Kluyveromyces lactis: one gene and its partner. The protein of the gene in region 1 binds, or shares a complex with, the protein of each later gene. Links are inferred from orthologs where the notes say so. Each region holds a gene or a part of one and is shown on either strand. Other genes may lie near its edges. The genes, in order: NAT1 and NAT5.

Region 1 (17,549 bases):
GTATAATTTGTCACAAGATTCCTGCGATTCATTCATTAGGGCACCAAATTCTTCGAAGAAATTGGATTCACCTTTTTGGAACAATTGTAAGGCCTTCAAGACTCTCAAAGCCTCCGAATAAACATGCTTAGCACGTTGAAATAACTTCAATCTTTGGAAACGAACAGGAAAGTTAGTTAGATATAGTTCAGTGAACTGAGAGATAGATTCACACCCGCACAGTTCAACGGCGTGATCTAGGGTGTATCCATTCGGGTCTAAGGTTTCTTCTACTAGTTGCAACATTTTATTCAATCTTTCGATACCAGTTTGAATTTCGCCATCCCATGGCTTACGGCACGATTTGTCATATTTCGTGTAATATGAATCCATAAAGTTTCTTAGGGTACCCTTACCTAGGTTACCTTCAGTTTGTAAGGTAACACCGAATTTCTGAGCCAAAACGTTAGCAGCGACGGTGACTTCAACAACTCTCAAATTATAATTGACAGGTCCGGTTTCCGCCTTATTACTAACCACAAGAGTGTTCGCAATCAAGAAGGAAATTGGCAAATCTTCTGGGAACTTGAACGGAGTAGCCTTCAATTCTGGTTTGAACTCCACGTACAAAGCGTGACCCTCGATACCACAAATGGAGGCTGCTTGATCCATACCACCGTTATTAACACCGACATGATGTTCCGCTACAGCTGTAGTCTTTGTCAATTCATCCTTGAGGATTGGCGTTCCTGCAGGAACATTAGAGTATATGATTGCCAAAGAAACCGCACAGATGAAGGCAGCACTTGAAGACAAACCACCACCGCTAGGAATGTCACCCTTGACGTAGATTTCCATACCATGAACTGGACCCTTGAAGTTGTATTTCTCTTGTAAGAATTGTTGAGCGACTAGGAGGCCACACTTGAAATAATTGGACCAGTCTGACACTGATGGGTCAATTTCAATCAAGGATCCATCCAATGGTAAGTCGAACTTACGCTGAGCAAAATTGCTATCATGATTAGTCAAAGTAATGGATGGATTCTCGCTTTCAGAAGTTAAGCGGCACGCTAGCATCAAATCGTTTTCAATAGCCATTGGCAACACTGAAAACTGACAATAATCGATATGTTCACCAATCAAATTAACTCTACCAGGAGATCTGGTTATAAAAAACTTCCTGGAATCATCTGTATCATAACATTCCACAAATTCATTCTTCAATTGTTCCAATTTTGGAGCGTGAGCAAAATCTGTTGGCACAATAGGAACGGACATTATTATTTCTTATATTTCAGCCTTGTTTCAAACCTGTTGTCACTTAAAAGGATTCTACGATCAAATTTCCAACTTTATAGGTTGAATGATATTCTCACCCGTCTATTGAAAGATCAAACCTGGTATCAAGATATGTCTCGAACTGTCAAACCTTTTAAATGTAATTTCAATTCAATAGAACGGTTCTTTTATAGACCTTTGGAAGCCTGCTCCATCATTTAACAGAACGGCTACCGAGTTTTCTTCGGATCACTTCAATCCGTATCACGTGATACATACGGATTGAACGAATCCGCTCTACGGAATACACCAATCCGGAATGAGCGGAAGACTATGCCCCGGATGCCCCAGATTTTTCGTTTCTCAGCAGGCAAGCTACCGACCGTACTATTGGTAACGAGAGATGAGTTAGGAATTAAACACCGTGAAAGAAGGAAAGAAACAGAAATTACTAATAAGTTGCTATCATAACACGACAACCTGCTTGCCTTGCACCTTGAAGTGACATTGAGGATCAAATCCCCTTTACTTAAAACACGTATGATTGCATGCTCAATACGTATATAAACACTGAGTCCAGGCAATTGAATCCAAATAAGAACAGAAGGCAAAAACAGTAAACTGCCTTCCTTCAATATAATTGATATAATAGACTACCATTTGAAGGATATCTCTTATAGAAGCTGTCACTAAGAAGGACCAATAATCTGAATCAGGTTAAAGGAAACTCCTCGAAGCCAAAAAAAAAAAAAAATCAACGCTAAGATGTCTGAAGATAAATACTGTTTGGTGACTGGTGGTGCTGGTTACATTGGGTCGCATACTGTTGTTGAACTTTGTGAAGCTGGTTATAAGTGTATTGTTGTTGACAACTTGTCTAATTCCAGTTATGAATCTGTCGCTCGCATGGAATTGTTGACTGGCCAGGAGATCAAGTTCGCAAAGATTGATTTATGCGAACTGGAACCATTGAACAAGTTGTTCGATGATTACAAGATCGATTCCGTTCTACATTTTGCCGGTTTGAAAGCGGTTGGTGAAAGTACTCAGATTCCATTGACTTATTATTTCAACAATATCGTTGGTACTATCAACCTTCTAGAATGTATGAAGAGTCACGATGTAAAGAAGTTAGTCTTTTCCTCTTCTGCCACTGTTTACGGTGATGCCACTAGATTCGAAAATATGATTCCAATTCCAGAGACCTGTCCAACAGGTCCAACTAACCCATATGGTAAGACCAAGTTGACCATTGAAGATATGATGAGAGATCTACATTTCTCTGATAAGTCTTTCTCCTTTGCTATCTTAAGATATTTCAATCCTATTGGTGCTCATCCATCTGGTGTCATCGGTGAAGACCCTTTGGGTATTCCAAATAACTTGTTACCATTCATGGCTCAAGTTGCCATTGGAAGAAGACCAAAGCTATACGTCTTTGGTGACGATTACGATTCCGTCGATGGTACGCCAATTAGAGACTATATCCACGTTGTCGATTTGGCAAAGGGTCATCTAGCAGCACTAAAATATCTGGAAAAATACGCTGGTACTTGCAGGGAATGGAATCTAGGTACCGGTCATGGTACCACTGTGCTACAAATGTACCGTGCCTTCTGTGATGCTATTGGTTTCAATTTCGAATATGTTGTCACTGCTAGACGAGACGGTGATGTTTTGAACTTGACCGCTAAATGTGATCGTGCAACAAATGAGCTAGAATGGAAAACGGAACTAGACGTTAATAAGGCGTGTGTGGATCTGTGGAAGTGGACTCAAGATAACCCTTTCGGCTATCAGATTAAAGGTGTGGACTCCAAATTCTTTGGGGATAAGGGAGATTTTTCATCCAGAGTTGTATCTCTAGGTAAAGGTACCTCATTCGAAGTTAAACTTGCTAACCTTGGTGCTACCATCGTTGACATTGTTGTTAACGGGTGTTCTGTTGTTGCATCGTTGGATAATGAAACCGAATACAAGGATCAAAGCAATCCATTCTTCGGCGCTACTGTAGGCCCCTATGCTAACAGAATCGCTAATGGTACCTTCGAAATCAATGGTAAGAGGATACAACTAACTGTGAGCAAAGAAGATGGTAATGTAGTTCATTCTGGAATCAACAGCTACCACTCTAAGAAATTCTTAGGTCCAATCGTTAAGAACCCGGAGGCTCATATTTGGACTGCAGATTTCAAATACGTAGATGAAGAAACTGAATTTCCGGCCAGGTTGTCCACTTTGGTAAGATATAAAGTCGACAGCGAAAAGAAGACTTTGACTGTTGAATACGAATCAAAGGTCGCGGGCCAAGGCTCTACAGGTGCCAACATCACTAACCACACATATTTCAACTTGAACAAATTCAATGAAGCTACTATTAAGGGATCTAAAGTACAATTGATCGACAACACCGGTCTCGAAGTGAATAACAAGTTGCTCCCAACAGGAAACTTAAAGAAATATACCCAAGTGGCTACTTTCAATGATTCCCCAACTGAAATCACAGAGAAGGAACCTGTCTTAGATTTCTGCTTCGTAAGCGGATTACCTGCTAAACTAGATACAAGATCTTCTCCGCTAACACCGGTGTTTAAACTATCTAACGAAGATGCTAAGTTGGAAGTGGAAGTGGCTACCACTGAGCCAACTTTCCAGGTCTACACCGGTGATTACGTCGATGTCAAAGATAAATACGAAAACAGAGCTGGTATTTGTTGCGAACCCGGTAGATACATTGACGCTGTCAACAATCCTGAATGGAAATCGAGCGTCGTTCTTCCAGCGGGAGAAACCTATGGCCACAAGCTTTCTTATACTTTTAGGACTTTGTGATGGAAATACATTTGACATAGAAAACACTAAACCAAATAAAAACTTAAACACAATAACATGACATGATTGTTGATATATGAGAGTATGTTTCTTGTCAACAGTTTTCTTTCTGAATCAATATATACACATACTACATAGTTTTACCTTTTACGACTTATATTGCATAATTAAACCCCATAATAATAAACAAATACCATTGACATGACAGATAATATTTTTTTATTTCCCACATGTCGTTCCTAACACGCAGCTACATGACAGTATCGAACTTCGAATGTGATCGCAAACCAACGTGCTTGTGACCAGCTGCATGCAAGCAAATGACGATGATGATAAAAGTTGTGTCGGACGACAAAGCTTCAGTGTCACCGGATTTGGTTCAGTTATTATTTTTCATTGGATATGGAAACTTCGGAGTTGAGTGGTCCGTTCCCGTCTCGGATGATTGTGGTCCGATGGACAAGCTGATTCGAAGGCCCTTTCGTTCTCTTTACGGCAGGTTAGCAAGGCCGTAAGCTCATCGCTTGGGTATGTCCACGAGCTACACTCTCTGTACGGATAGTTTCTTAGCACCGTCAACAAGATTAAGGAACTGAATGGTGTATTGTTTCATTATGGTACAGGATTGCACCGGAGCACTGTATTTGTGGAGCTACTTGTGCTAACAGCACGAGAGTGCCCAATTTATTTCATCAAGTAAGTTTAGCTGCGAATATATAAAGTAAAGCTGTAGATGGAGGATAGACTTGTCATTCGAGAATTGGTTTGAATTGGATTCAGTTGCGAATAATTCTTTTAACATACAGATATAGAAAACCAATCATCAACATTGATTGATACGAGCAAAACAGAATAACAACTAACATCAGCGTTTTCAAACGGTTAATATAATGTCTTTTGACTTAACAGATCACTCACATGCACGTTACAATCCATTGACTGATTCTTGGATTTTGGTATCTCCACATAGAGCCAAGAGACCATGGTTAGGTCAACAGGAGAAACCTGGTAGAAACGATGCTCCAGACCACGACGATAAATGCTACTTATGTCCCGGTACTACCAGGGCTACAGGTGAGCAGAACCCAGATTACGAATCTACATATGTCTTCACTAACGGCTATCCAGCTGTGAAATTAGAACAACCAGATCCAGAACTGACGGTGTCGAATTGCGACGCATTGAAGGAGAGATTGTTCAAGTTGAAAGGTGTGAAAGGTAACTGTTATGTGATCTGCTTCTCTCCAAAACATAACCTAAGTTTCCCACAAATGGCTCAAAGTGAGATCATGAATGTTGTCAAAACGTGGACTAACTTATTCCAGACTTTGGAGAAAGAAGCCTTGGAAGAGAACAAGCCTTATAAATATCTACAAATTTTCGAAAATAAGGGTACTGCTATGGGTTGCTCTAATTTACATCCTCATGGTCAGGCTTGGTGTTTAGATTCCATTCCAAGCGAACCTGCAAAAGAGTTTGACCACTTCGAGAAATATGAACATCAACATGGTGCTCACTTGTTGGAAGATTATGTCAATTTAGAACTTCGCGAAAAGGAAAGAATTGTGTGCGAAAATGATTCTTTCTTGGTTGTTGTTCCATATTGGGCCGTTTGGCCATTCGAAACCATGGTCCTCTCAAAACGTCGCATCCCATCCTTGAATCAATTTACTGATAAAGAAAGGGAAGATTTAGCATCTATCATCAGAAACTTGACCATCAGATATGACAATCTCTTCGAAACGAGTTTCCCATACTCCATGGGTCTTCACCAAGCCTCTCTCAACGCTACCGAAGGAGAATTGAAAGCCGCTTGGTTCCATATGCATTTCTATCCACCATTGCTAAGATCGGCCACTGTGAGAAAGTTCTTAGTAGGGTTCGAGTTATTAGGACAACCACAAAGAGATTTGACTGCTGAACAAGCAGCAGATAGACTCAAAGCCCTAAGTGGTGAAGTACATTATTTAGCAAAACTTGAGCAGGAAGAAAGCAAAACTTGAGCAGGCAAAGCAGAAAATATCCGTATAGGAAAACTTATTTACAAGTTATACTCACATAAAATTTCCAAACTTAGTCACATTCGTAAGCTTTTAGATCCTACCTAACGTTACTTAAAATTCATATTCTAATATTGAATGCTGAACGACAGGATCTTCGTTGTCTAGAACAGAAATGATGTCTTCTTTAATTTCTGGTTCTGGAATGGACTCACTCGAATGATGATAAAGTATCAACAATGATGGCAAGGTTTTGCCATATGTGCATGTTACAAATTGTACCTTATCGCCAGATTCTGACAACAGATCAGGGAATTCCTTTTCTATACCCTTAATGGCGACTTTCTTGGCTATGACATCATGTGGATAAGAGTCTTTTGTGTTCTCTAAAAGCACCAATGCCATACTTGCTGCAACAGAATCTTTACCATTTAACTTAACATATTTTGTGAGTGCGCCCAGAGCCAAAGCTAGCTTACCAGTTCTCAAATGGAATTCAAATTCCAGCAAATGTCTTCTCGTATCATCAGTGGTTTGGGATAAATATAGTTTCAAAAATTGATTCTCGAATAATTCCAAAGGATTTGGATCATTGAGTAAAGTTTCACCAAATGGATCCTTGTCATCAAGGTAGGCAAGATACTTGGCCTTTTCTTCTTCCTTCTTTTTATTCAAAGCAGCAGCTTCTTTTTTGGCCTTTTTGTTGGTCTTCTTCTTGATAGAACTGTCATCATGCTCTTGTTCAACTGATGCAGTTAGTTGCAAAGAATCAAATCTTCCGAAAATTATCCTTGAAGCACCTTCCATAGCCCTAATAAACATAGGCAAAGTATAGAGGTGGTTTCCCCATTCAAGCATATTCACGTAGGCTCTTGGTGTCCCTTTTCTCATACAATAGGAGTGGAAATCTAATTGATCATCCTCAAATTGCTTGTAAATCTTAGGAATTGCCATATAACGTTTTAAAGAAAGGCCCTCAAACTTATTAACATTGAATTCCAATTCTTTTAGAAGTTTTCCATGAGATTCTATCTCATCAACGGTAAGTGCAGTTATATCTTTATTCTTCAAGCCGATTAATTCCTTGCAAGATTTTTTATACAATCTGAAGAAGCTCTCAGCTTGTTCGATAATGAACCAAGAGGCTTCTAGGAGGTGTAAATCTGGTACACCATTTGGAGATTGGTCGTTTTTGGTAAACAATGACACGATCTTAGTAGCCTCATCAATTTTATCAGCTCTTAACATGTATTTTACAGTCTTTGCATTAATAAATCTATCTTGCAGGTCAAGTTCGCGACCTTTATCAATAACTTCTGAAGCTTCTTCCAATAGCCCCAAATGCTTCAGGACTCTGGACTTGAGAATATATACCTCAACAAGAGTTGGAGTGTGGTTCATTGCTTTGTCAGCATATGCATTAGCCTGCTCGAACTGCTTTCTATGCAAATAATGTAGAGCCAAAAAGTAAGTTGTCCAAACAAATTGGATTGGTTGATCAGTCGATGATAGCTCAGCATAATAAGGTAATACAATACTTTCAACAATATCCGGAATACCTTCCTTCTTGTAAAGAGGTTTGATGTTATTGAATGTGGCTGGAACACCGCGATTTAACTGCGTTATGATATAATCATTGAGTTTCGCGGTTAATTCTACCTTATCTTTGAGGAATGTGAGCGGAATGAATTTAGGAGGCTCCGATTTAGGGTAAAATATAGCCAACTTTTCATATAAAGCTTTCCTCAACTTCTCATTTCCTTGAATTCCAAGTGAAACTTCCAATAGCCTGTAATATCTGAAATTGTCTGGACTTCTCTTAATCAAAGTTCTGTACACAATAGAGGCTTCCTTAGACCGACCAAGTTTCATTAAAATAGAAGCTTTCCTCTCTAACCAGCCATATCTATCATAAACATCGTCGGAAATCTTTTCCAAATGCTCTAAAACTCTTTCCAAGGATTCTTTATCGTTGCCTGCCTTCTTGTACAAAAGATCATTCTTGTACATGATACATTCGTTGTTCTCATACATTTCTGGTTCACCCAACTTGCCTTCAGCAAGCTCTTCAAATGTCGAAAGAGTATTGATTGCGTCTTGCGTACGCCCATTCAAATCTTGTGCTATGGCCAATGAGGTCCAATTGGCACGATATCCTCTGTAGTTTTCCCAGTACTTTTTTCTCGATTCCAGCGCGCCTTTGAAATCATGAATTTGAGATTGCAATGTCGCCAAATCTCTATAGATTTGAGTGTTTGTAGAACCATTTTCTAATGCGGCCTTGAACCACTTTACAGCGTCTGAGTAATTTTTCACCTGTCTGTAATAAATTCCTAATAAGTGTCCACCAATTGGACTTACAAGAGTGCCTTTAATTTTGGATAACGCTTTATCAATGTAACTAGCAGCTTCTTCAGGTGTACTACAGAATTGCAAGTTCAATCCCTTCAAAATTATAGAGTCCACATGACTGCTGTTCTTCTTCAAGATTGTGTCCAAGATCTTCAACGACTTCTTGTAATTTTTACCTTCATATAGTTGCAGTGCTTCCAACATATTGCTGTCATCCTTAGACCTACCAATTGGAAGTCCCACTTTCCCGTGAGATAGTCCCTTTTTTTTATACATGCTAGTGTAGATCAATGGGTCGCTGAGTGTAGATAAGCAAGCCAGTAAGAGTGTTTCTCCATTTATTCAGTCATGAATATGATTGTTGAACTTGATAATTTTCATGATTTAGACGTTGACTATTGTAAATTTTTCAGTTTAGAGATACATTGAAAATGAAATGTTTGGGTTTGAACGAACTGAAGGTAATAGTTAGCAAGCGGAGCTGGTACGATTCAAGGAGTTTATTACTCACCTACTGCAATAAAGTTAAAACATGTTGCAATCCAATGATACTTTTGATATAGTTACATACTCACATTTACAAATATTTTACGTAATTAAAGGGAAACAGCTGACACTTTTGAAACGTAGGGTTTCTAACGAGTTAATGTAAAGATCAAAAACGGAAGTCAGGCTCTTCTTCCACTTTCTGTTTTTTATGTAAGACATTATCATCGTCCTTCTCCTCTACGCTTGTTGATCGTTTGTTCGTAATATTGTAAGAGGTAGTGGAACTGATTATTGTAGATCCGTCGACTTCGTTTGATTTAGCTTCCGTTAGAACAGTAAATAAGGGTCTATTTTCATCATAGTGCTGGTTGACTACAGAGCCTCCATCAATTGGCACTAAGCCTGAATTATTGTTTTCATGTGTCTCGCTTTCTGTTTTTGTTGCTTCCGCTTCATTGGCGTCTGAAGACACCTCATCGTCGGAAATTGATTCGTTCAACGGATCTGGATCAATATGTGCGTCTTGATCTTCTAATTCTTCAAATGAGAACATGGCTCCGAATAAGTTTTGTTTGGGTATTCTCAAAGTATCTTCAGGGTAGTATCCGTATTGTGTACCGGTAAGATTAGAGATTTCCCAATTTATTCCACAGACTTTCATACCAGGGTATGATTTGGGTAGTCCTAATCTATTCATTTCATGACACCAAGGCGGGAGCATCCCCTCCGTGAGATTTAATGCCTCCCTTAAAGTTTCCGATAGATACCCTGGTCTATATCGTGTCTTTATTTGTTTCCATTCGAGTTCACTATCCAAACTTCTGTTTTCATAATATAAATCACCAAATGACAATAGTTCAGGTTTCCAATTCTTTCCCAAAGTGAAAAATGCTTCGTACAACCTTTTATAATCTAGATCTAATACACCTAGCTTGGGTTGAACTTTTGCTCTGGTAATATCCTTCAATTTCTCTGCTTGCTTTTCGTTTCCAGAGGGAACAGTCTCTCGCATCGTTTCAATATCGGTTTGTCTAATAATCTCAGGTAATTGAAATGGCTTCCTTTCCATCATTGATCGTCCAGATAAATAACCTCTTTTCATTTGCCAATGTCTGGGGATCCCCACTGTATTATGTGTTGTCTTTATAGCTGCATTGAAATAAGGCCATTGCGCATCGCAGTCAAACCATTCGATGAGTTCCGGATATGGTACTGAAGCTTTCAAAACAGCAATACTTGGTTTGTTAGCAAGTCTCTTTTGTCTTTCTGATATATTTTGAAGTACTTCATCCGCTTGATCCTCAAAACTGTCGGAACCCTCAGCATCCTCATCGTCAATATCAGCCCGTTCTTTTCGTACTATGGCTTGTTCCCGTTTTGAATCATCATCCTCATCGGCCCCTGTAGCCGAAGCTTTAAATCTTTGTAACACTTTATTGAGACTTTCATCCTTGATAACTAAAGGTTCATTAATTACCTGTTGCGAGGTGTTGCCATTCTCTGATGACACTTGTTGTAACAAACTGGAAAGCCTCTTCTTCCTTTCTTCTGCATCCTCTTTCACAGATCCATTTTTATTCTTTGAACGGCGTTTATTAGCCTTGGCTTTCTTTACCATAGTGCAATATCTGGTGGGCAGTTGACTGTTGTTATATTAATAAGCAGTCGAGCCAGAATACTATTGTATGCTCATCTGTCAATTTGCCTTTTTTATGTCCTTTATTAAGACCACATATATTTTTCAATTAAATGTTGAAATTTATACCATTATATTATACGTGAACAGATATGGCAACATTCAACGGTCTTGTATACATGTGATAGATGCTATATGACTATGGATAATAACGAATCACTCTTCTAAATTCTTGAGTCTATCGTTGATTGAATCGGCGAATTTGTTAAATTGTACATCATCGTCATTCACTTTCCGCAGTAAGTCCTGTAACTTTTGCTGAATATCTGAGGCTATCTCAAACACGGTGGGAACATCTTCGTTGGAATTACCACTATTTTCTGATCCTTTTGGTTCAGGGGTAACAATTGGTTGTGTCGAAATCATCTTTTGAAGTGATGACTGCATGTATATGGCTGTATGTAAGCTAGATCAATAGACTTCAAGGTATGTCGGTTCTATGACATTTACATTTTTTTTAGTTATTTGAATCCGATCCAAATTTTGGTGATACAAATGATACATGGAGGTGATGAGACTAACAATGGCGAGAACGCCAGCTGGTCTATTTTGTCCATGATAGCCTATTAGGTATACAGATGAGTTGGAAAGGGGTTTTTGCAAGTTCATTTCCCAAAGATACTTTACAGAAGTATATTGCTGCCAATGAGAGCATCGCCAACTCTACCGTTTTTCAAGGTACGCTATATGAGCTCACGGTGGTACGAGAATTAATGAATAAGCTCCGACTGGAGGATATGCAGGTAGTTGGCGGTTCATATGATGGCGGCATTGATATTCGGGGCAAATGGAACGTTTTACCATTAACAAAGGCTATAGAAATGCAAATACAATTCGATGAGCTACCTAAACGTTTGAAACTTCCGACTACATCGATAAAACCATGGAAACATAGGGTGAAACCCGATAAATATTTAGACTGTTACATTCAATGTAAGGCTTTCAATTCAGATAAAGTTACTGGCCGCCAGGTACGGGAATTAATTGGATCATTCTCCATGCAAGTTCCCGCTCGTAAAAGAAACTCGAGCATAATGATAATGAGCTCTCCAACTTTGTTTACAAAAGATGGAATAAGGCTGTTTAATGAGGCCGCAATACCAATGGTATTTACCAAAGTGGATATGATCCAGAGATTAGCTGATGGAAGCTTCGATGTGAAAAACTCGGGAAAACTACAGCATTATTATGAGAATGACTATGCATCGAAATTACTTGCAAATTGTGGAATCAAAGAATGGTTAAAATTGAAAGGTTATGAGTCCTTAGCACAAAAATGAAATATTAGCACGCAATTACGCTATCAGAAAAGTTTAAATAGAATGAAACCTGTACATATGATGAATGTAATAAATATGATATGCTAATTAATTTAAAGATGTATAAATTTATAAAGGTTGTGTATCTGATTATGCAGCGCATGAAAACGAGATAGGAATGTATATAGTAGCCAGGTTAAAATTATGTATTAATGATGTCTCGATGTTGAAGGGAAGGCGTAAGTTTTAAAACAAGTTTGGGAATAGTTGTGGATGGCATTTTAGAATCTCTTCATATTGAAGCCCACTGCTAATGTCTTGGAAATCATATAACATATAGCAGAGACAAATGACGTGACACCGCACCAAATTACATAGTGGTCATAGCCCTTGAAACTCTTTTCTGGTCCGATGATGGCACCTGTAATAGGAACTGCTACTAAAGTACCAAATGCGACAACAAAGTACATTGTAGAATATCTTCTTCCGAATTCTTCAGTCTTTGAGATTTGTCCACAGCAGACAGGTAAGATACTGAAGATACTTCCGGAAGAAAATCCATAAATGGCACTGAATGCGAATAACACCGCTCTGGTAGTGGCAAAAGGTAACCACATCACAAAAGTTATTATGCCAAGAAACACTAGCGTAATCATTGCAACGTTAAACCTTCCGAAGATATCACTGAAGAATCCTGGTAACCATCTCCCTGGTATACCGGCAAGGTTAACTACCATGACCAATAGATAACTATCAGATTGCGATAGACCTTGTTTCATTGCATATGAGGTGAAGTAGGTGATACCAGAGATTATGCTAATTTCACCAAACACAGTTCCCATGACACAGAAAGTGTACTTCAAATCTTTGAAACCGAAGATATCAAAACTTTGCAAGATGTAAGTGTTGAAAACACGCCTCCAAGTAGGTATTGCTCTTTCACGTTCATTTAACTTTTTATGTGGCAATCTCTCCTTTGCTAAGACTAAAGCGACAATCAATAGGAACAAATTAACAAATCCTAAAGTTCTAAGGCCCCATACGAAACCATAAAATGGGTCCGAGTCCTTCTCCATTGCAAAGAACTTTCTTAGAATAACAGGGAAAATGACACCACCGATGGAACCGCCAGTGGTAGCTATTGCAGTTGCGGTACCACGCTTAACCAGGAAGTAATGAGAAGGCACACTGATCAATGGACTCATTAGAATACCATTACCAAGTCCGGTAACGATTGAAAAGGACAAGATGAACTGCCAGAGTTCAGTAGAATTAGCCATACCAAAGAGCCCACCAACATGCAGTACAGAACCAACAATCAATGGGCCCTTGGCACCGTTTCTGTCAAAATAAGTTCCTGAAAAGATGCAACTTGCGAAATTAACAAACGAAAAAATGGAGAAAATCCAACCTACGGTAGATGATGAGGTACTCGACAACTGGTTTCTTTCAATAAAGTTTTCCATGACACCAATAGTGTTCAACATACCGAAAACTGGAATAAACCCGCAAAAACAACCGAATATCACCAACCATGCGGCAAACCCACCTTCCGGATAAAACAATCCGTCATCCTGAATGAAGCTGGGTCTCTTTACGCCAGACTCAACAGGCCTCGTTTGCTCGTTATAAGTTTGAGTAGCCTCAAGATCAGCGAACTTGTTATCAACGTCCACTTCTTTTCTCATCAATAGCTGCCGGGACGATTGAGGAGACAGCATAGCTGGTCTAGAAATCTTTTCAATAGTCACTTCTTCGGACATTTTTTCCTCAATGGGTAGAGTATACACCTTATGCCTTGAATTCTGATTAGCAGTGCTAGCATGGTGGCCTCTTGAGTATGTCTGAGAGAGTTACAACTCTCTCTCTGTAGCACTCATTGCTCATCGCTTTATATGTCAAACATCGAATTTTTCGAACGGCGTTCGATATCCGCTTTTCCTTTACGAGGAAAGAGTCACACTGGGACCAAGATATTACATAACAGTAAACATTGCACCGGGCTGAAAGTTGATGCTGACATTGAATTGAACACTAAAGTGCAATGCCCGCAATGCCCAATTTACGGTACGATCGACAAGATAAATTTGTAAGTTGCTCCCTTTAAACCTGGTTTACAAGGATCCTCACTAACGTGACGAAACTTTCTACAAGCCGGTAGAACGCTCGTTTGACTGCATTTGAGTCCACATAAAGCAGAAATTGTATACATAAATACCAAATAATACATTACTCACGTGTAAAAAACCACTATCAGGGCCCTAAATGCCGGGACTGGCAACCTATATTGTTCGTTTTCCCACAGGAATCTCGAAATCTCAAAATTTTTTTCATCCCATTGAAGATGGAAAAGAAAAATCTCTAAACTTGGATCTTTGAAAAGATAAAGCCTTAGAGGAGAAACCTTGACTGTTTGTTTCATTTAACAAAATAGAATTGATTTGGGTGTTTTCCGTTTTTCACTGGCTCGGAGTTTCGGAGAATTAAGGCTGAGTCTTGATTGCTAACAATTATAGAGTCAATTTGTTTTATTCTTTTGAAGTAGGTCCAGGATCGAACTTGTATAAATCAGATAGCCTTTCGTTAGATACTTGAGTCATCTGTCGAAGAGAGAAGCATCAACATCAAAACAGTGAGGAAGCACAAGAGCTAAGGAACTAGAAGTTCAAGGAAGGAAACAATGTCATCCCAGCCAGTTGAATTGAAGAAGAAGCCAATTTCATTCTCCAACATTTTGTTGGGAGCCGGTTTGAATATGTGTGAAGTGACTACTTTAGGTCAGCCATTAGAAGTGGTCAAGACCACTATGGCAGCTAATAGACAATTCACGTTTTTCCAAGCCATTAATCACATTTGGTCTCGTGGTGGTGTATTTGGGTTCTACCAAGGGTTGATTCCATGGGCATGGATTGAAGCATCTACTAAGGGTGCTGTGCTATTGTTCGTATCTGCAGAAGCTGAATATCACTTTAAGAAATTGGGATTGAACAATTTCGGTGCTGGTATCATGGGTGGTGTTTCTGGTGGTGTAGCACAAGCATATTTGACAATGGGTTTCTGTACTTGTATGAAGACTGTTGAAATTACCAAGCACAAGAGTGCTGCTGCAGGTGCTAAGCAATCATCTTGGGCTGCCTTCAAGGAAATTTACAACAAGGAAGGTATCAGGGGTATTAACAAGGGTGTCAATGCTGTTGCCATCAGACAAATGACCAACTGGGGTTCTCGTTTCGGTTTCTCTAGATTGGTCGAAGAAGGTTTGAGAAAATTCACTGGTAAGACTAATCCAGATGATAAATTAACTGCATTGGAAAAGATCTTCGCTTCCGCCATCGGTGGTGGTTTGTCTGCTTGGAACCAACCTATCGAAGTTATCAGAGTTGAGATGCAATCTAAGACCAATGATCCAAACAGGCCAAAGGATTTAACTGTGGGCAAAGCCTTCAGATACATTTACCAATCTAACGGTGTTAAGGGTCTATACCGTGGGGTCACTCCAAGAATTGGTTTAGGTATCTGGCAAACCGTGTTTATGGTTGGTTGTGGTGACATTGCAAGAGAATTTGTCGGCAAGTTGACCGGTGAAACTCCAGTTGCTAAGCATTAAGAAATGTCAAAAAACAAACAAACAAACAGAAAACACTGTGAGATAAATCATAAACAATAATACCTTAGTCTTCCGCGTCACTTTGCTCATAACTCATAATTCATAATAAGATTTACATACTTAGCAAGTATAATATTCCCCGCTGTACTCATATTTAAAAAAATTGATCCAGTATGTTGGCTATACTTTTTTTTGATTGAGAAGTATCGGGTTGATCTGATCTGAATCTTAACTAGCGGAAACTGGTCTTCATATCGTAGCTTAATAAAACCACGTCAATATATACTGTGGAAATGATGCTCAAGTTTTCCAGTAAACGGCGCGTAATATCAGTATTTCAATTGTATATTCTAAATAACGAGTAACTACTATTTTACACTGGAGGTTCCAAATAATGATTAAACTAGAAGGTTTGAGGATGAATGTTTTAAGTGAAAGAATAAATGCATGCAATAACAAAAGGAATTGAAAATGTCGTTGTTTTAATATAGTCGCTTGAGAACATCGTCAAACAGGTATGCTTATAATACAGTAGTGAAAAAAAAAGAAGTGCCTATAGTGAACAGTTTACTTTTTTGTTCCCCCACTTGTCATATCCGTACAATCCACTGATCGTTAAAATCAATCCGAATAGTTGATTGATCGACAAATTCGATTCCCAAATGAACGCTACTCCGATGATCACGATCCGTTTCATGATGTTTGCAATCGAATAAGTAACGGGACTTAGCATACCGATTAGTTGGAATGCTAACATGGCTTGGAAGAAATGAGCAACCCCGTGAATTAGAACTAGTGTCATTACGCTCGGCGACAAATCAGCGAAAACTGAGGTAGAGCTGGAAAAAACTTCGTTCGATACGAAGATTGGGAAAGTTAAAATAAAACCGACACATGAGCAATAGAATAAAATGGTAATTTTGTCCAACTGGATCGGTGAGTCTTTCTGGGACTTTAGCTCTACTAGATTCAGTTGTGATTTGTTCTTACAGGGTAGAACATCTTTTGACTTAACTGTCAAAATTCCTTTGGCAAAAATGTTTTGTGATACAAAGATCACCATAGAAATAAAAGCAAACGATAGACCCATTGAGAAAGTTGTTTTATCAGTCTCCGTAAGTTTGCTTTTATTGTTTTGGGATGTCCAACACGTAATGATAACACCAAGGATCAAAGGAATAAGGGTATAGTAAGTCATATTGTTATATTGTCTTCCTTTTGCGAATCTATAATAGCACACGGTCGCGATTGGAGATAAAGCTTTAACAGAATGCACCAAGGAAACTGGAATCAAAGATGTGGATTTATGAGAGGTAATATGCCCTACAAATTGGAAAATACCCATTGGGAAAGTTGTATACCATATGACTTTAGATGGTACCAGGAAAGTGTTTAATATGCATCTCGAAAATGATCCATTCAAATAAGTGGGTAGAATTCCTTCCGGGAAGTTTAGAACTGTATTCTTCAATTTTGATGAAGATACCTGTGGTGCATGCAAATAGTTAGCAAACGTTACAAACGCGAGACATAGCGATGCGCTTAGAAGGAACTGCAATTCCGTTAAACCAACAGGATGTGGAAATCGGGATAAAATGGCTTTTGACAGGTTTGATGAAACAGAAGAAGTCATATACCATATAAGGCATAAAATAGATATGTGAACATTCACTTCCGGTAAATACTCTTGTACATCCTTGGGAAATAGATTGACAAATTGCTCTTTCCACGTCTGATTTTGCAGTCTTCTGACCTCATTGAACGAAGTTGAATGTTTATGAGACCTGTAATTTTCCTGGAACGGTATTTGTACCTGGTTGACAAAGTTAACATCTGAAAATGTTTTATTGATCGAAGGACGGCGCTTCGAAGTGACGCTCTTGGAAGTTACAATCATTTTTCGCTTATTTTATTCACACCTTCTTAAAATCAATAAAGCGAGTGGAACGAAGTTGAATGAGAATAATTTAGCAAACGATAGAATAGATCGAAAAGAACTGTTACTTTATGGAGCGAGCAGCGATTTTAGAGCCGACTGTCACTATGTAAGAAGT
Region 2 (16,426 bases), on another chromosome or scaffold:
ATGAAGGAGGTTCCGTTCCAAGGATATATGAATTTCCCAAACGAGGTTGAGTTTAGCGTTACTACTTCGGACAATAAAGTGCATGAATTTGCTTTATCAAAGGAAAATTTTAACCCATTAAGCAGTAACGGGAACATTCAGAATGCCGATATAATATATGCAAATTATGGGACTGTCGCTGATATCCAATCATTGAAAGAAAACGGGTTACTTTCCGACAATACTGTTCTCGTTATGAAATATGGAAACTTACCTAGTGAGCAGATACTTGTCGCTGAAAAACATGGTATCAAAGGTATTATTTTTATATCAAAGCCCTTTGGAAATGATGGTGATGTCATACAGAAACTCTCAGTAGCGATTCCTCAGTACGGTACTGGTGATGCTTTGTCTCCTGGTTGGAGCACTCTTTCGCCAAAGAAAATCGGATTGGAAAAGTCACAGTTAGTACCGCACATCCCAACCATACCTATCTCGTATAACCAGGGTCTGAAACTTAAATCAATTCTAAATGATGGTTCTCCCAGTATCAAATTCGAGGACTCCTGGTTTAGTGGCAGAAAAGATGATGTCAAATGCAACCTAAGGCTAGCCAACGCTGAAAAGACACTACAACCTAGCTGGAACGTGTTGGGTAAAATAGAGGGTAAAGAACAAAAGGATAAGGCCATCATAATCGCTGCTAGTCATGATTCAACTTGCAAGGGAACCCTTTATCCAAATTTCGGTACGTCTTCTTTGATGGCTCTATTACAGTTATTCCAACAAACCAAATATAAGTACGATTGGAGGCCACTAAGAAATATCTACTTCATTTCATATGATGGCGCGCAATATAATCACGTAGGTGCCACCGAATTGATGGAAACCGAAATGAATCAATTAAAAAGTGAAGTTTATGCATTTATTGATATTTCTCAATTAAGTGTCGATCCGAAAGCCCGTCGTGCGCTTGATGTCCAGGCAACACCACTATTACAGAGTCTTTTCAAGAATACTAAACAGTTTGATGTAACCGTTAGAAACATTGCACAATACGGTGATTGGACTGCATACTTGGCGAACGGCATCCCCACTGCTGTGTTAAGCTCCCCATTTGTCTTAAACCAAACTCCTCCAATTTCAACTTGTTCTGATGATTTTCAACATTGGTCTGAAGAAATTAAGGGAACTGAAGGTGCATGGGAACAAGTCGCAGATACCCTCATTTACACCTATGAAATGTTGTTAAGACTTATCGACGAACCTTTACTACCCTTTAATGTCCGTGATTACGTTTCAAATCTAGATATTTTATTCCAGGATTTACAGAAACAAGGTGGCAATAACTTTGACTACGCTTCCATTCAGCAAGGTTTGAAAGCATGGAAAAAAATCAGTGACGAATGGAACGCATGGGTACACACGTGGAATAATATCGTCATGATGGAAGACGAAGGCGTGGAACCGTCGTTAGTTTCGGTTCACAGATGGACTTGGAATAAAAAAATAATGAATATTATGAAGAGACAATCTCTTTCAAGTGGTATTCCCGATAGAGAATTCTACAAGAATGTTCTCTTTGGACCAACGCTCTGGACCCAAACTAATGGCTATGATTCATGGTCATTCCCTGGTGTGAGAGATGCATTGACTTCGGGGAATTTAAAAGAAGCTCAAAAACAAATCAACATTGCAGGAAATCTGCTAATATCTTCAGCTCAGTCATTTATTGACGAAACGGCTAATTCATTTTAAACTTTTTTGTTCACAATATCAATCCCAATCAGCATAACGTTTTCCCCGCAGAAATATGTTTTCTGCTTCCTTTATAAAACAATACATATATACTCTTCAAAGAATTCATACTTTTACTATGAATGGGAGTCCCATTTGAGAAGGTCTTCATAAATGACAAGCTACTGTTTACCAAATGGTAATCAAGTATCAATTGATACACTTTAAAGTGCATAGATTTGTCAACCAATTTCCTGCCGGTATTTTTATCGGTCTGAATTTTGTTTTCTCTGATTGAACTGTTTCGTATGGCTTCCATAAGTTGTCAACGTACCCGAATACAACAGTTTCTTGATGAAAAAAAAAAGGTTTGGCCGTAATTTCGCTGCAAAGATCAACTCAGAATAAAGGAATACAAAAATGTTGGATCTTCTATATAAAGGACCCAGAGGGAAATATTATCTATATACCATTAGACTCTCAATTACGATTTGGTTGATTTTGTTGTAACTAAGTCTGAACATAGAGTTTCGATAATCAAGTCTCAATCTTAAAGCAAATGTCTTTTATTAAGAACTTTTTGACAGGTGCTGTGAAGACCACAGCTGACCCAACGGGTTTAACGCAAAGTGGTAGCGGCAACGAAGGTGCTAGCTCTAAGTCAAATGACCCAATTGTGGAAGGAAAGTTTTATCCCAGAACGCTATCCAAATTCAATGGACATGACGATGAAAAGATCTTTATCGCAGTTTTGGGGAAAGTGTACGACTGCAGCCAAGGAAGACAATTTTACGGGCCTAGCGGACCATACTCTAATTTTGCTGGACATGATGCATCCAGAGGACTTGCTACAAACTCATTTGATTTGGATACAGTAAGACACTGGGACCAACCTATAGATACTCTCCAGGACTTAAACGAGCAAGAGCGGGGAGCTCTAGAAGGATGGGCTGCGCATTTCCAAAAGAAGTACCCATGCATAGGAAGTTTGGAAGCTGAACCCGGTGTAAACAATTAGAATATTTGTTCAGGCCTTGGTGAGATTAAGGACTATTTTTGTATTTATTTATGCTTCTGTTTTCTAGTGTACTACAAGTCCAGATAATTTATATGTCTGTATATGATGGATTAGGACATGGTCTCTGCAACTTCCTCAAAGAAGAAGCGCGAAACAGGTTCAGGCTGATTTCTACTCCTGAAACCATTTCTCGTCGTTCGCTGACTAGGATTCAAAGAAGGATAGTCACGTATTCTAAAAGTGTGCTCTTGTCCTATATTAATCAACTTCGGATCTTCTGTGTAACAGCACGGTATGTCGACAGTTTTCACGATTCCTTGTTCAGAATAATTGACCTTTAAATCTGCGTGTTTTGCTACTTCTTGCCTAACTGTGTGCCTCGAATTTTGATAAGGATCTCTCTCTACAGATGCGTTATTCACTATTCGTTTCATTGAGAATTTTCTACCGCTGATCCAAGATCTCAAATGTCCATTGGTTTCTAGAATTCTCACCTTTGGCGAATTCTCCTGACCTTTATTAAACGATACTAGAAGCAATGGTTTCATGTTACTCGATTTATGCGACATACCAGTAGGAAGATTAGCAATACGGTCTATTGGGATTGCAGATCTCTGATTTGTATTCCTTGAGCTCTTCTTCAACTTGTGTAGGTTCCATCGCCTTTTCAATCTTTTCAAAGTGACACAATTATGCACCTTATTAAATAACCTTCTAAATCGATTATATTTTGATTGGCGAGGTTCTGGTATCGATCTCATTTAATGTAGTTATATTGCCTTGGAATAGTGAGTTTTCAGCAAAACTGTAGTGAGCTTATAATCACAATTTGTAATTTGCTTAAGAGTTCATTGGCTAGTATAATGTTCTGAATGTTAGGCCCTTTTTTTATTGACGTACACTTTGTGACAAACAGGATATATGATAAAAAATAGTCACAGAGTCAAGTCACCTTGAATCCAACTGATATAAATAGATGGATATACTTAGTTTAATTTATTTGTGTGAGATGCAACTATATATTATACTGAATGAATTAAGATGTTCTTTTTTAAAGAAGCGCACATGATTAGCTCAATACTTTTAGATGAATGCCTCTCTGGGTAGATTGTTTGCACTGTTTCTAAATCCTTGGATAGCATTATCATAGTTCCAAAGACTTTGCTCGGCAAGCATATAAGTGTACTCAGCGTTAAGCTTTGTTTCAAGGTGTAACTTCTGAAGTAGTTCTAATTGTACAGGTGACAATTTTGCTTGCACTTCCGGTGAGAATTGCAAAGGTGTCGATCCAAGAACTCCCGGGATTTGGCCAGGAATGGATGATGTATTTGGCGGAGTTTGTGAGAGGGGCACGTTCATTTGTGGCTGATGTTGCACAGATTGAGCTTGGAGATGTGGTGGAGAAGGTGGTTTAGACCAAGCGCTATCACAGAATGGCCTTATCGTCAACGAATCAGATGCAATGATGACACTACCATTTGGACTTGGAACTAAGACCATTGTTCTATCGAAGGATTTCTGTGAAAGTTTGATGTTCGGCGTAGACGTAAATCCATGGTTGTATCTCCTTCCTCTAGAGGCAGATGATCCTTGTGATGTTTTGCTCTTGTCAATTTCAGGTTTGGCAGTTTCATCGAAATGGCCATGAAGAGTGATAACAAACCCTTGAACTTGTGGGAAGGTCCAGGCTTGCACAGAGTAAGCATCAGGTTGTTCTTGCAAAAAATGTTTTGTCATAGGGAGAGATCCGAACACTTCATAAATTGCTTCGGGCCCTATACGTAACCGTTCTTGGATGGTCTTGTCGCTAGATATCTTGGAAATGTTTCTTGAAAATGGTAAGTAATGACCGAATGTAGGAGTCGTTTGAGCATTAGGTACAGTAGCAGCTGGAACGGAAGAATCAACACTTAAGGAAAATTGAGACTGTGGAGTGTACAAACCCATCAATTGCATTCTATTCGAATCCCACAAGTTCAAGAAGTTGGTAATAAAATCTGTTGACGATGATGCCAATCCATTATCTTCGAAAAAGAACTGGGTTTGTTGTACCGGTAAGCTATAGATAGACAGTAGTTTCTGCTCGTCACGAACGACAACGTTATCTAGAATCACCAATTTGGGGAATATCCTTAACATTTCTGTACGATATAAACGATCCGATGTAATTGGATTATTCATCATCAGAAGCTCCCTCAACTCTTTGAATTTATTCTTCCAAACTTCAAGAGAATGGAATCGACTAATACTATTATTGGCGATGCATAGGTTTTTCAAATGAGGGAAAGTCTGTGCCAACGTGGTAACACCATTGACGTCTCTCAAATTATTATCAGATAGGTTGATCGATTCAACAACCATGCTAGGCTCCTTTGAAGCCACTTTCATCATAGCCGGGAACATCTTGGACTGCGTATTAACATTTTTCGGAGCCATACCGCGTTGCACCAACTCCGGATCATTGAACAAATTACCAAGATCCAACATCCTCGTTTGCACATTATATCTTCTCAAAAGCACATTACGAAGAACGGTTATCGTATCATTCGTATTAGGGTTTGTGTTCCCACCGGCTGCCTTGTGAATCTTCAATGAATTGCCTGCAAACCGGTACCCACTAAATTTCACCAATTGATCTGCCTCCTGCGGTGTCACATAACCAACTATAGTGTCCCCTTGAACCACAGAGTTTCTCACTGAGATCCTGGTCTTTCTCGAAATGAAATTCAACAAATCCTGTTGAGTAGCGTTAGTCCATCCACGAATGCTAACGCTGACTAAGTTATCCAATTGGTTTTGCTGTGCCAAAGCACCAATCTGATTCACGTTACCAAAACCACTAACTTGCATCACTCTAGTAACGCTATATCACAAGACTTTTCTCAACCAAATCGGTTAACCCGGTGAGCCTCATCTTTCAATCTCTATTCCCATCTCAATTACCAATGAGACTAGCACATTTTTTGATTATTTCTAGGTTTTTAGCATTTTTTTTTTTAATTTTATTCTTCAGTTTAGTAGAAAGAGATGATCGACCAAATCGAAACAGAAAATTCAAGGTCATGTGATATATTACGAGCACGTGACGTATAAATATCTTTTTTTTTTTTGGTCTTTCTCTTCTATTTGTTCTTCTAAGCTCTGCCGTATTGAATACGTATAGTGTTTCAAACAGAAGGAAAAAAACCCAAAGGTTTTTGGAAAATACAGACTGGCATATTAAAATCGAAATAAGTTAACTGTTAACTACTTTTCTAGATCAGAGGAATAATTGTTTGCAGTTTGAAGGCTTTTTTGTTTAATAGTACACTGTGGTTCACTTTTTTTGATTGCTGCCTGCTGTGTGTTTTATTGTAGCGGCTTAATTTATTGGCAGTCTTTTGGTTCTACAACAGACAAGCAGACGAACAGACAACGACGCCATGCCGCAGAATTATGATTACGATGAGGCAAGCACCACATGGCCATTTTTCGTACTCACGGTGTTATTTGTGGCTGTTACACCGGTAACATTGATTGAGCTGTATAGATTGATTGTTGGGGACTCCAGCGATAAGAGTTCTTCATCAGAATGGAGTCAATTGCACGAAAAATATACTTCAGAAGAAGTTCGGAAATATAGACTTGCTAATAAGAAGAAAAGGTCCAAGAAGGGAATTTACTTCATTACCGTTGGTTGGGTGCTCATTTCGATGTTGATTTATCATATTCGTTCCAACGATGCTATCTATCAGATTGCAGCAGCGGCTTTTGATCCATATGAGTTACTTGGTGTGACGCTTTCGTCTACCGATAAAGAGATCAAGTCTGCATACAGGAAATTATCTGTCAAATTCCATCCCGATAAGCTTTCCAAGGACCTAAATGAGATTGAAAGAACGGCTATGGAGGAACAGTTCGTGATGATTAACAAGGCTTATAAGGCTTTAACTGATGAAATTACGAAGGAAAATTATAGAAAGTATGGTCATCCAGATGGTCCTCAATCTACTTCTCACGGTATCGCTTTGCCCAAGTTCTTGGTGGAAGGAGGTACTTCCCCATTTGTTGTTTTTGCATATTTCATTCTACTTGCGTTTGTGTTACCCATGGTAGTTTCTAAATGGTGGAGCACTTCGCAAGAGTACACAAAACACGGTATTCATTCTGAAACAGCATCTCACTTCGTTGACAAAATGTTCAACTTCAAACCATCTTATGTTGTTGTGCCAGACTTAATCATTAAATGGATCTCTGAAGCAAAAGAATTCCAATTGAAATTCCCAGAATTGTCTTCCGTGGACATCGCTAACATTATCCATTCCCATGTTAACCGTGAAAAGACTGAAAACGAATATGCAAGGAACTATGTGCTTACCAAATCATCGTTACTTTTCCATCAATTGATAGAAATCGCATCCACTTTTAGGAACACTGAAGTTGCATTGATGGCGTTAGACACGTATAAGACAGTGGTACAGGCAACTCCGTTATCGCCACACTCTCAAATCTTTCAATTACCAAACGTGGATAAAGAGCATTTCTTGGATTCAACTACAGATGATATTTGTGCCTTGGGTAAATTATTCACATACCCAGATGATAAGATAGGTAAGATGCTAGGAATAAAAGATGAAACAGCACTCAATGAAACTTTGAAAGTAGCGTCTCGTATTCCTAAGTTGAAGCTCGTCAAGGGCTCCTTCAAAGTTCGTGGATCTTCTCTAAATACCGCAGAACCAGGTTCTACTCCTCACATTCAAGTTAAAGTGTTGGTTCGTTCTCCAAGACACAAACTTTTCCCAAACTCATTGATCCCAGCTGAAAAAATAGCTGGCGATGATCCATTGTTATTGGAACAGGATCCCTTCGAAAAATTGTTGGAACAACCATTGTTGCCTGAAACTTTCGCACCTTTGCTTCCAACAAAGAGACGTACTTGCTGGTATGCGTTAGTGGTATCACAAAAGGATGGTAAAATAATTCAAACCCCAAGCTTGGCCCAAAGATTGTCCCTAGAAAATTTGGATGTCAATTTCGATAAAAGAGTTATTAAAGATTTAGACAAGGAATTTAACGCTGAAGACTGGACCATCGGCACTTTCTCAATTCCTTTCGCTCAGCCTGCTCCTAAAGAAGAAGGCACATATTTCTTCAGAGTCGTTATCAAGTCTCCAGATTACTTTGGTTCTGATTTAGACTTCACTGTTCCATTGACTGTGAAAAATACTCCAATTGAAACAGATCCTAAGAAGGAGATATTGGAAGAACTAGACTCTGACGATTCAGGAAATGAAGGCGAAGAAAATACTGGATATTCCTCCGAAGACTTTGATGAATCCGATGGTGATGATCTAGAAGAGGACTCTGATTTCACTGATATAGATACTGATACTGAAGATGAACATGAAGCAACTGAGGAAACCACTGAAAAATCCTCCAAGACAGATTAACTTTTTACTTACAGTTCCTAATAAATTATCTGAGCACGCATTAACCATCACTAAATTGACAGGGCTTTTCATATGTAGATATATATTCATACTGACTTCTTATATACAAATGCATCATTAGATCCAGTGGTATTCTTGTAATAGTTTTCCAAAATGTCACCATCCCTGGAAAAGCCATTCTTCTCATACCATTCTATTGCTGTTTCATTGTCGGTGGCAACATGCACGTATATATCGTGTTGAAAGCTTTCCTTACATTTATCTTCGATATACTTCAACATTAATGAACCAGCTGTCTTTCCACGGTAAGCTTCAAGTACGGCCAATACTTCGATGTACATACCTGCTGGTTTGACTCCGCCGGTCTTATTGGCTATTAATCTGGATTTTACAGCACCAATCGCAATTTCCCCGTAATATGCTAGCTGTGCATAGAATACTCCTTTCGCATTCTTGTCCACAACTTCCTCGAAGTATTCACCTGGATACTGAACCGGTAGCACAACATCAATGATCTTTCTGAATGTTCCTAAATTGTTAGCGTAAACGTTATCAATCGTAACCAATGCTCTACCCATCTTCTCAATTGTCTATATATGGATACCTTACCTGCTGATTCTCAACGTACAGAAAGTACTGGTTTCTAGCAGTAATTCTTGTCATTGTATCTCTCTTGAAGATATTATTTCTTCGGATTATAAGTTCTATGGAATTTTCAAATCAACTGTGTATCTCAGGATCGAAACAGCGAACAATGTTAAAATCGAGAGTGTAATACCAGATACCAGCCTTAGATACACTGTTAGAATTTCCTCTAAACTGCCAAAACAACGAAACCAATCTAACATCGATGCTCAAATGCATAAACTATCATAAACGGACATTCCATACCACTTATTTCCAACTAGCAAAGGGAAATGTGTCTTGGAATATGGCATTGGATCCCGCTATACCCAAAGACAGATCGGTAAAAGCATTTAAAACATCATTGCAGCATACGATAGCAAACAATGCATGGCCATCTGACTCCTCACGAGAGAGAAGAGTACTTTTGGAGTTAATAGCTAAGTTTTCGATTCCTCATGATACACTAAAGAAGCAAATAAAAAGGCTACAGCTATTAATTTTGCAGAAGCGTATAAGTGACGATGACATACACAACGCAATTACTAAGGTTAATTCCAATCAAATCATTAATGTAGTGACACCAAAACCGATCAATTTGCAGAAGGAATTGAAGAACCTTGAGAAAACGGCAACCTTTCACGAACCACGCCAGCGGCCAAAACTACAGAGGCCATTACATCCAACGCCATCACAGCACGAAGTAGGGGTCAAATCTTCAAATAACAATGTGGCTCACCCTAAAAAGGACACTGAAACTGAAACAATTACGGACAAAGACATTGAAGCTTTGAAGAAATTCCTTGAGAGAGCAGAAACTCAAGAGAAACAAATTAAGAAGTTCGTTCTTGAACAACAGAGAAAATATAAATGGTCTTCCAACCAAGGGCCAGCTTCACGTATATCATCAGGATCGTTGCTATTTCAGGAACATTTACCTTCTGTTCGATTGAGGAAGAATTCTTCAGTTGGCTCATACCTTTCGAAATGTGAAAGATATATACACCCGTTTGCGCCGACCGAAGTTAGAGAAATACTTCTCTATGATGTTACTAAATCGAAAGAAAAGATCGAACCACCAGAATCCACTATTCTTGTGCATGTACAAAAGAAGGACCTTTTCGCAGTTGTAAATGGCGGTAGAATAGCACCTGATCAGTTGTTGGCCGTAATAAATCAATACGAGAACGGAGGGTGGAAGTTGATAGGCGATGTGAACAGAGATACTTACAAGATTGTCTTCCAGAAGAATTACATGAGACCAGCACTCATAGAGACCAAAGGAAAAATAGCTATCACTTTATTTGGTATTACCCTAGGATACATAGCCGTTGTCCAACCACTAATCGACTATATTAATTATTTCAATCGATAAATTAATATTGTATACTGTACAATCCGAATGACACTCATATAGGAAAAACAGAATTAAAAATGTATGAATAGTTAATCTTTATATATATATCTATAGTACAATACCCTTCTGATCAACCGTGTGTGTAGAAAATGACATCCGAAATTGATCGACATTATCAGTTCATTTCAATGTCTTTTAATTCACCAATAGGTTTTACAGGTTTTGTTCCCCCAAGAACCTTTTCGCCTTTATCATTGATTCTTATCAGTTTTAAAGTACTCAAACCTCCAAAAGTTTGATTCCAAGCTCTTAAAAAGATCACATTTTCAGGGTCTGTCAGATCTGGGCACAAAAAACCTGACTTGAATTCTTCCATTTCCAAATCTCTTTTATGTTGCAAAAGCTGTTGCCTACCAGTGGGAGGTCTATTCTGTCTTCTCTTAGATTTTAGTTCATTTAATTCATTATCATCGCGGGCAATAAACTCTTGAATTAGTACTGCAGTTTCCTTATAATCGAATACTTCTTTTTCCTTCAAAGAATCAGTTTTAATGGCTGACTGTACAAAAGTCATACGCGCTAACTCGTTGGATCTTTTTTCGTTGTGAGCTCTCTTTTTTGCCTGAACTTTCTCTTCGCGAAGGGTAGCTCTGTTTAGCTGCTGGAATTTGCGCCCTTTTGGGTGAACAGTAAATTTCTTACCCTTTAATCCTTTCTGGATTTTACCCAACGATTTTGTGACAGGCATTTAAAGCGATTTTAATTTGCTAAGATAATGATATTATACCCCGTCTCTTTCTTACTACCAATCTTGCCTGAGTTGATGTGCTCACTAGCTTTTAACATTCAATTTTATAAAGGAGCTCATCGCTGATCTATAATTTCAGTTGCTCATCGCTTTTGAATTTTTTTGCCGAAATCCATGATGAGCAAAAAGAAAAGTTTTTATTGATTTAAAAGTCACGTGATTTGAAATTCAATAGTCCAAATCTATCAGTCCCATCAAGAGATCTCTCATATCATTATCCTTGAGACCGTTCATGTATTTGAATTTACTGAAGTATACCGGACAGTCTTTAGATTGGCACTTGAGTGCAATTTGGTCCAAAGGTGCCATAGCATCTTTATGAAACTTGTATGAACAGGTTTGACAGGTCCTCATAACAGAATGCATCTTAGACTGTTTTAGTCTGACTGACTCTTCCAAAAAAAGGGTGGTGTTGCTTTTATCGATCCTGCATTCACCACATATAGGACTAATGAATTTTGGGTGAACTTTCTTGCGACAGCGCAGACAAGATTTGCCTTTGACGATTGAAGTCAAAGACCTTCCTTCATGGCTGCCGTCATCAGAGTCTACTTTTAGAGGATTAAGAGTATGTTTCATCGATATATACCAATCCATGATATCAACTCCTACTAACTGGAAAAACCGCTGAAGAGGAGGTATAATGTTTTTGACAATGTAGTATGTATAATCCAACCTAGACGTTTTAGACCTTAAGAAAGCCTCCGGTGAGAGGCATCTAGAGCTCAAAGTTTCACCTATTTTTCCCATTTTCACGACATACGGTACTCTCTGCTTGTATTGGGGTTCTGTACGTGCATCTTCTTCCATCATTTGCATGGCAATTTGGGCACCAGGGGGAGCAGTCTTTTCACTTTTATAATGGCCTAGCTTAACTTCTCTAGCGAAACAGAAATCTTGAATATTAACTCTGCCGGTGATAATTTTGTCAAATTCTCCAATTAAGTATTCTTTTACCATGGATAAATCAGTGGTTTCAAACATAATTCTAAGTGCCTTTTCCACGATTTTTTGTTGTGCTGGTGTTCCATCCCTTCGAACAGTTTCTATACCCTTTGCATCGAATTTTGGTTCTTTTTGATATTCAGACTCATAGGAAAAGCCTACATAACGTTTCTTGGTTACTAAAAAGCACGGATGATACACTTTCTCAAACTTCAACTCTATGGGTTTCGGATTCTGTCTTGTTATTTCTTCAGCGATCTGCCTTCCGATTACAAATGCTTCATCTTTCGATTTCCCTGGAAGGTAAACAAATAAACTATCTGTATCTCCATAAACTACTTTAGCCCCCCATTCTTTAGTAGTTTCTATAACCTCGATCGCCCTCTCTAATGTTTCCCTGCCAGTCTGAACTATACTATCTGCAATGTCGGAACATGGCATACGCCCAGAGAATGAAGCAGATGTGTATCCGTACGTGACATTAGCAAGTAATTTTAAGGCTTCCTGCCTATTATCCAACATATTAATAAGGTTATGTTCATCATTAAGTTCCTTCATAGTACTTTTCATTAGAAATCTCGTATCAAGAATGTCCTTTAACATCTTAGCCAAAACTGACTTTCTCAGTTCTTTTTTGACAAAGACGATACCATTTGGTGAGATGGTGATATAATCAGATATTAAAGTTAGTAAATCTTCAGGGATATCATACCTTGTGATACCTATTTCATTATTTTTAGTATTTAATGATTCAACTCTTCCGATAATAGTGCTGTAACAATAATTATATGCCATAACAATGGATGGGTATAATGATTGAAAGTCTAAAACTAATAAAGGACTCTTGTAAAAGGCAGATGAAGGTTCCATCACAAGTGGTATACATTCGAGTGCTTTTTGGTTACGGACCTGCATTCGGCTTGGAGAAATCAGAATGAATTGTTCTGATTTGCAAAGTCTAATTAAAAAGGATTCAACCTTGTATTGTGAGCCACGGTAAAGGACAGAATAAAAGTCAATCCCGATAAGTCTTGCTTGCTCGATGGTTTTTCCAATTATATTCTGAGTCTCTAAAAGCTTGAAATTTACTCGAAGTCTTGTGATCCAGTAAAATAGGAGACACCTTTTTGAAGTTTCGTCCATAGATTCATAGAACTCTGTCCTGGTTTTGTACGAATAAAAAGGTAACCGTTGGTGTAAAACATGAAATGCAATATTTTCTAATGTATAATCGAGAAGATTCAAAGAAGAGCGGAGAGGCCTCCATATGTTTAGCATTTGTCTTCCCGTTATCGAAAATGCTGTTGCGTGAGTGTAACCCCATCTGTCTTTTTTTTTGCTACTCTGGTTATAATCGACTCGAGAGAGTTCATCTTCCACATCATAATCATGTCCCTTGTGACATCTATCAATCAAGTAGCCCCACGAGGAAGAGTGTATTTCGTATCCTGACAAGATATCAGGATCGAAAAACCTCACTAAATCTTCTAATGCATATATCATTTCCAATTCATCGTAATAAGCAGTTATATGAACACTAGGATCGGCAGTTTTCCATGAATTTTCTGTCGAGACATCGTCTAGAAATATCAAAACACCTTCTTGAGTAATATCCAGGTCGAATGGAAAAGTTCCATCTTGCACTTTCCAAAATATCATCCTGACAGCATCATATTTAGGATCTGGAAACTTATCTTCACGAGTATTGACGTGAATTTCCATGGTGAAATGGGTCATTCTATTAGAAGCGTTATTATTTTTTTCTATTTTATTGCTCTTGAACTTGTATCCGAATGGTAGTTCTGGTGTTTTCCCCTCCACCATCGAGAATTTACCTTTGAAAGGCTTCATCGCATTGGCTATTCTTTTAAAAGACGGCTTTGGTCTTATATATTTCCATCTGCTTCTTGCATATACACTTCCTGAAGAAGTTAATGTTGCTGTTGTATCGTTACTACGGATGCTTCTTTTAAAGAGGATATGATCACTTGATAGCTTGAACACTCGACCAGCCATTTCCGTTTGTAGCCTTTTACAATCAAGTGGATTGGAGAAAAATGGATCGTTATACTGAACTTCTTCAATTTGGTTAGCAGATAAACTCTCCTTGATGTTAGCGTGTGTTACGCTAGGTCTGATCATCGGGCGAAATGTTGACTTTCTAATAGCAGATGTTTTTCGTTTTGCCAGTTTCCTAGCAATTGCTTCATTAGCAATATCGTCATGACATGAAGATTCCTCCGCACGTTTGGAACTGACATGTGAAGAGTGCGATTCATTGGAGGAAATATTTAGCAAAATGGGAATATTTTTAGTGTTTGTAGACGCTACTTTTTGTTCACGAACAGAAGTATATTGGTTGTTCAATTTGAATTCTACTTCTGACCAACAGAATACTTTACTACTAGCATTCCTTGGTATTTTGGGCCATAATTCTTGAAGGGCGTCTTTGGTACTTGCAAAAAAATTCTCATTAATGAAAGGATCCACAAAGTTGTCAAAATTTAAAGCTTTTTCTTTGTTAAAAAGGGAAGACATTCGTTTCTTAGCTTCATCAAAGTGTTTCACCAACCTTTCATCTTCTTTCCAATTATATTGTAATTGAGATTCTCGAAATATTTCTTTTAATCCTTCATATTCAGCAAGCCCTTTCCTTTTCCTAAGCAGTTGTATCTCTTTCCATATATCTTTTGTAGAATTAACATATCCTTGATCTGATGTTTGAAGGTCTTTCTTAAGCTCAACAAAATCATGGTGTAAATCCCTGAATTGAATTTCTTCTCTGTTTAAAATGAACTGTGGAATAATATCCATTTCAAGAAAGGTCTTTCCAATTCGATGAAATGGATCTATGTCTAAAACATTTTGATTCGGATGCAAGTGTTTTTTCAAAAAACGTTCCAAAGAGTCCGTGTGCAATATTTCATTCATATCTAGATCAGTTAACAGAACAGGTTGCCGAAAATAGCATTTGGATAGTTTTAACCATCCGCAACCAAATAAGTTATAGTCAGCCATCATTTGCAATAAATAAGGTATATGAGCCTCAAAGACATCCACTTTTGAGGTGAATATTCTGCCATCTCTAAGTAATTCAGAGAGTTTATTACTATATGAACCATTCAAAAGAGTAATTTTATAGTAAGGTTCATATCCTACGTGGTATCCGTAAAATGGAACGCCTTTGACAACGGACACATTAGCAATGTATTTCAGGGAAGTTAGCTTCTCTTTAAAATCTGTTTTGGTAAAAGTTTCAATCATCCGTGTCTCAAGTATTTTGTGCAAACTGGTACATCTATTCCGTATTACTGATGCTTTATCATTCGAATGTCCGTCATATTTGATGAATATGTAAGGGAAAATGCCATGGCAATGAATTAGAACTTTGTGTCCGGTAGATAAACATCCATAGAACCTTAGTACTGGCACCTGAACAAATCGAAGTCCAGGAAGGCTCTTACTAGTTTTACAATCCAATAGAGTTGGGAAGCATTGATAGCTGTCTGAATTATTAATCTGTATGTTGATTTCATTGGAGTCTAAGCTGGAGTCTAAAGAACCAAAAATATCACTCATCTGCAAGTAATCATCATATCAGATTACAGTCACCTTAATGTAGCACAGTTATATCTTCTGATGTAAACGATGTGAATGGTATAAAAGTAATATCCTTGATTAATGGGTGATATACTGTGACCAAACTTCAGATGAGAAATAGCGATGAGCAATCCTGCAAAGTTGGGCTAAACTTGATTATAGTTGGGTATATTAGTATTCATGATTACCCGGATATTGTGATCATTCTGATACGTAATGAATAATCATATTTTAGCTAAAGTGATTCTCGTATACTGGAGTTGTCCGAGATGAAAGTGAGATCTAGTTGAACAACATTCACCGCAAGTTCCTAATCGAATTTAATAGCAAATGTTACTTTAAATTGTTCTAATCTAGATTCTGTGGTATAGGAAGAAATTTGGTGATTCTATAAAATCCACAGTGTGAGGTGTATTTACAATGAATAATGACAACACAAAAGTGTACGTAAGAGTGGCAGGTAAACGACCTGAAAATTTTGTCGAAACAAAACCATTTATTTGGGATTCTCGTCGAGATAAGATTCTATGGACCAAAATCTCAAAAATTGACTCGTTAGAGGATATGGATTGGCAGGAATTGGGGGCTGATTTAGGTGCACCAGAACCCTTTCTCAAAAAACGGAGTTATACTTTATTTCAAAATCAACTAAAAGTTTTATCGAACCAAATAGACGTTACATCTAATACCCGGTCCTCATCAGAGTCACGAAATTCCGTTGACAACAACATTCTCCAAAATTTACAGGCATCAAGAATAATGAATCATAAATTGGATAAGACGGACAACTTAGCCAATAATCAAGAGTCTAGTAGTGAACTTTCGAATTTAAGTGTGAGCAAGTCAGCACTTGAGGACGCATTGATGGATTGTTTACAACTCTGAGAGGCATCTACTACATTTGCATTCAAAAAACCAATTATCCT

The links.
Region 2: the proteins of NAT1 (region 1) and NAT5 are in contact, whole or in part, in a cryo-EM structure (PDB 6HD5), measured with the Saccharomyces cerevisiae proteins. The link is inferred for Kluyveromyces lactis from reciprocal best matches to the Saccharomyces cerevisiae genes NAT1 and NAT5. Residues at the interface, in NP_010244.1 of Saccharomyces cerevisiae: Pro376, Thr377, Gln378, Pro380, Ile381, Ile384, Asp412, His413, Thr414, Pro415, Thr416, Tyr421, Gln446, Leu447, Asp448, Leu449, Gln450; in NP_014896.3 of Saccharomyces cerevisiae: Asn14, Asn15, Leu16, Gly17, Met18, Lys21, Val25, Tyr66, Ser67, Ile69, Pro70, Leu99, Asn101, Tyr102, Lys105.

The regions. Positions count from the first base shown.
Region 1 is NC_006042.1:781,760-799,308, forward strand, and holds NAT1 (peptide alpha-N-acetyltransferase complex A subunit NAT1), read right to left. Parts: upstream 8,721-17,549; coding exon 6,207-8,720; downstream 1-6,206. Other genes in the region: GAL1 (galactokinase), read right to left, coding at 1-1,260; GAL10 (bifunctional UDP-glucose 4-epimerase/aldose 1-epimerase), read left to right, coding at 2,026-4,092; GAL7 (UDP-glucose:hexose-1-phosphate uridylyltransferase), read left to right, coding at 4,983-6,095; U2 snRNP complex subunit CUS1, read right to left, coding at 9,100-10,551; BIL1 (Bil1p), read right to left, coding at 10,786-11,016; RRG7 (Rrg7p), read left to right, coding at 11,208-11,909; MCH5 (riboflavin transporter), read right to left, coding at 12,170-13,651; YHM2 (Yhm2p), read left to right, coding at 14,569-15,495; SLY41 (Sly41p), read right to left, coding at 16,049-17,392. UniProt on the Saccharomyces cerevisiae protein: Non-catalytic component of the NatA N-terminal acetyltransferase, which catalyzes acetylation of proteins beginning with Met-Ser, Met-Gly and Met-Ala.
Region 2 is NC_006039.1:842,485-858,910, forward strand, and holds NAT5 (peptide alpha-N-acetyltransferase subunit NAT5), read right to left. Parts: upstream 8,745-16,426; coding exon 8,253-8,744; downstream 1-8,252. Other genes in the region: KLLA0_C09735g (uncharacterized protein), read left to right, coding at 1-1,737; DAP1 (Dap1p), read left to right, coding at 2,276-2,734; OSW1 (Osw1p), read right to left, coding at 2,845-3,495; MEX67 (Mex67p), read right to left, coding at 3,818-5,584; protein-transporting protein SEC63, read left to right, coding at 6,157-8,166; MRX4 (Mrx4p), read left to right, coding at 9,017-10,165; TMA16 (Tma16p), read right to left, coding at 10,323-10,895; REV3 (DNA-directed DNA polymerase), read right to left, coding at 11,124-15,479; ATG29 (Atg29p), read left to right, coding at 15,921-16,385; SET6 (Set6p), read right to left, coding at 16,374-16,426. UniProt on the Saccharomyces cerevisiae protein: N-alpha-acetyltransferase that acetylates the N-terminus of proteins that retain their initiating methionine. Has a broad substrate specificity: able to acetylate the initiator methionine of most peptides.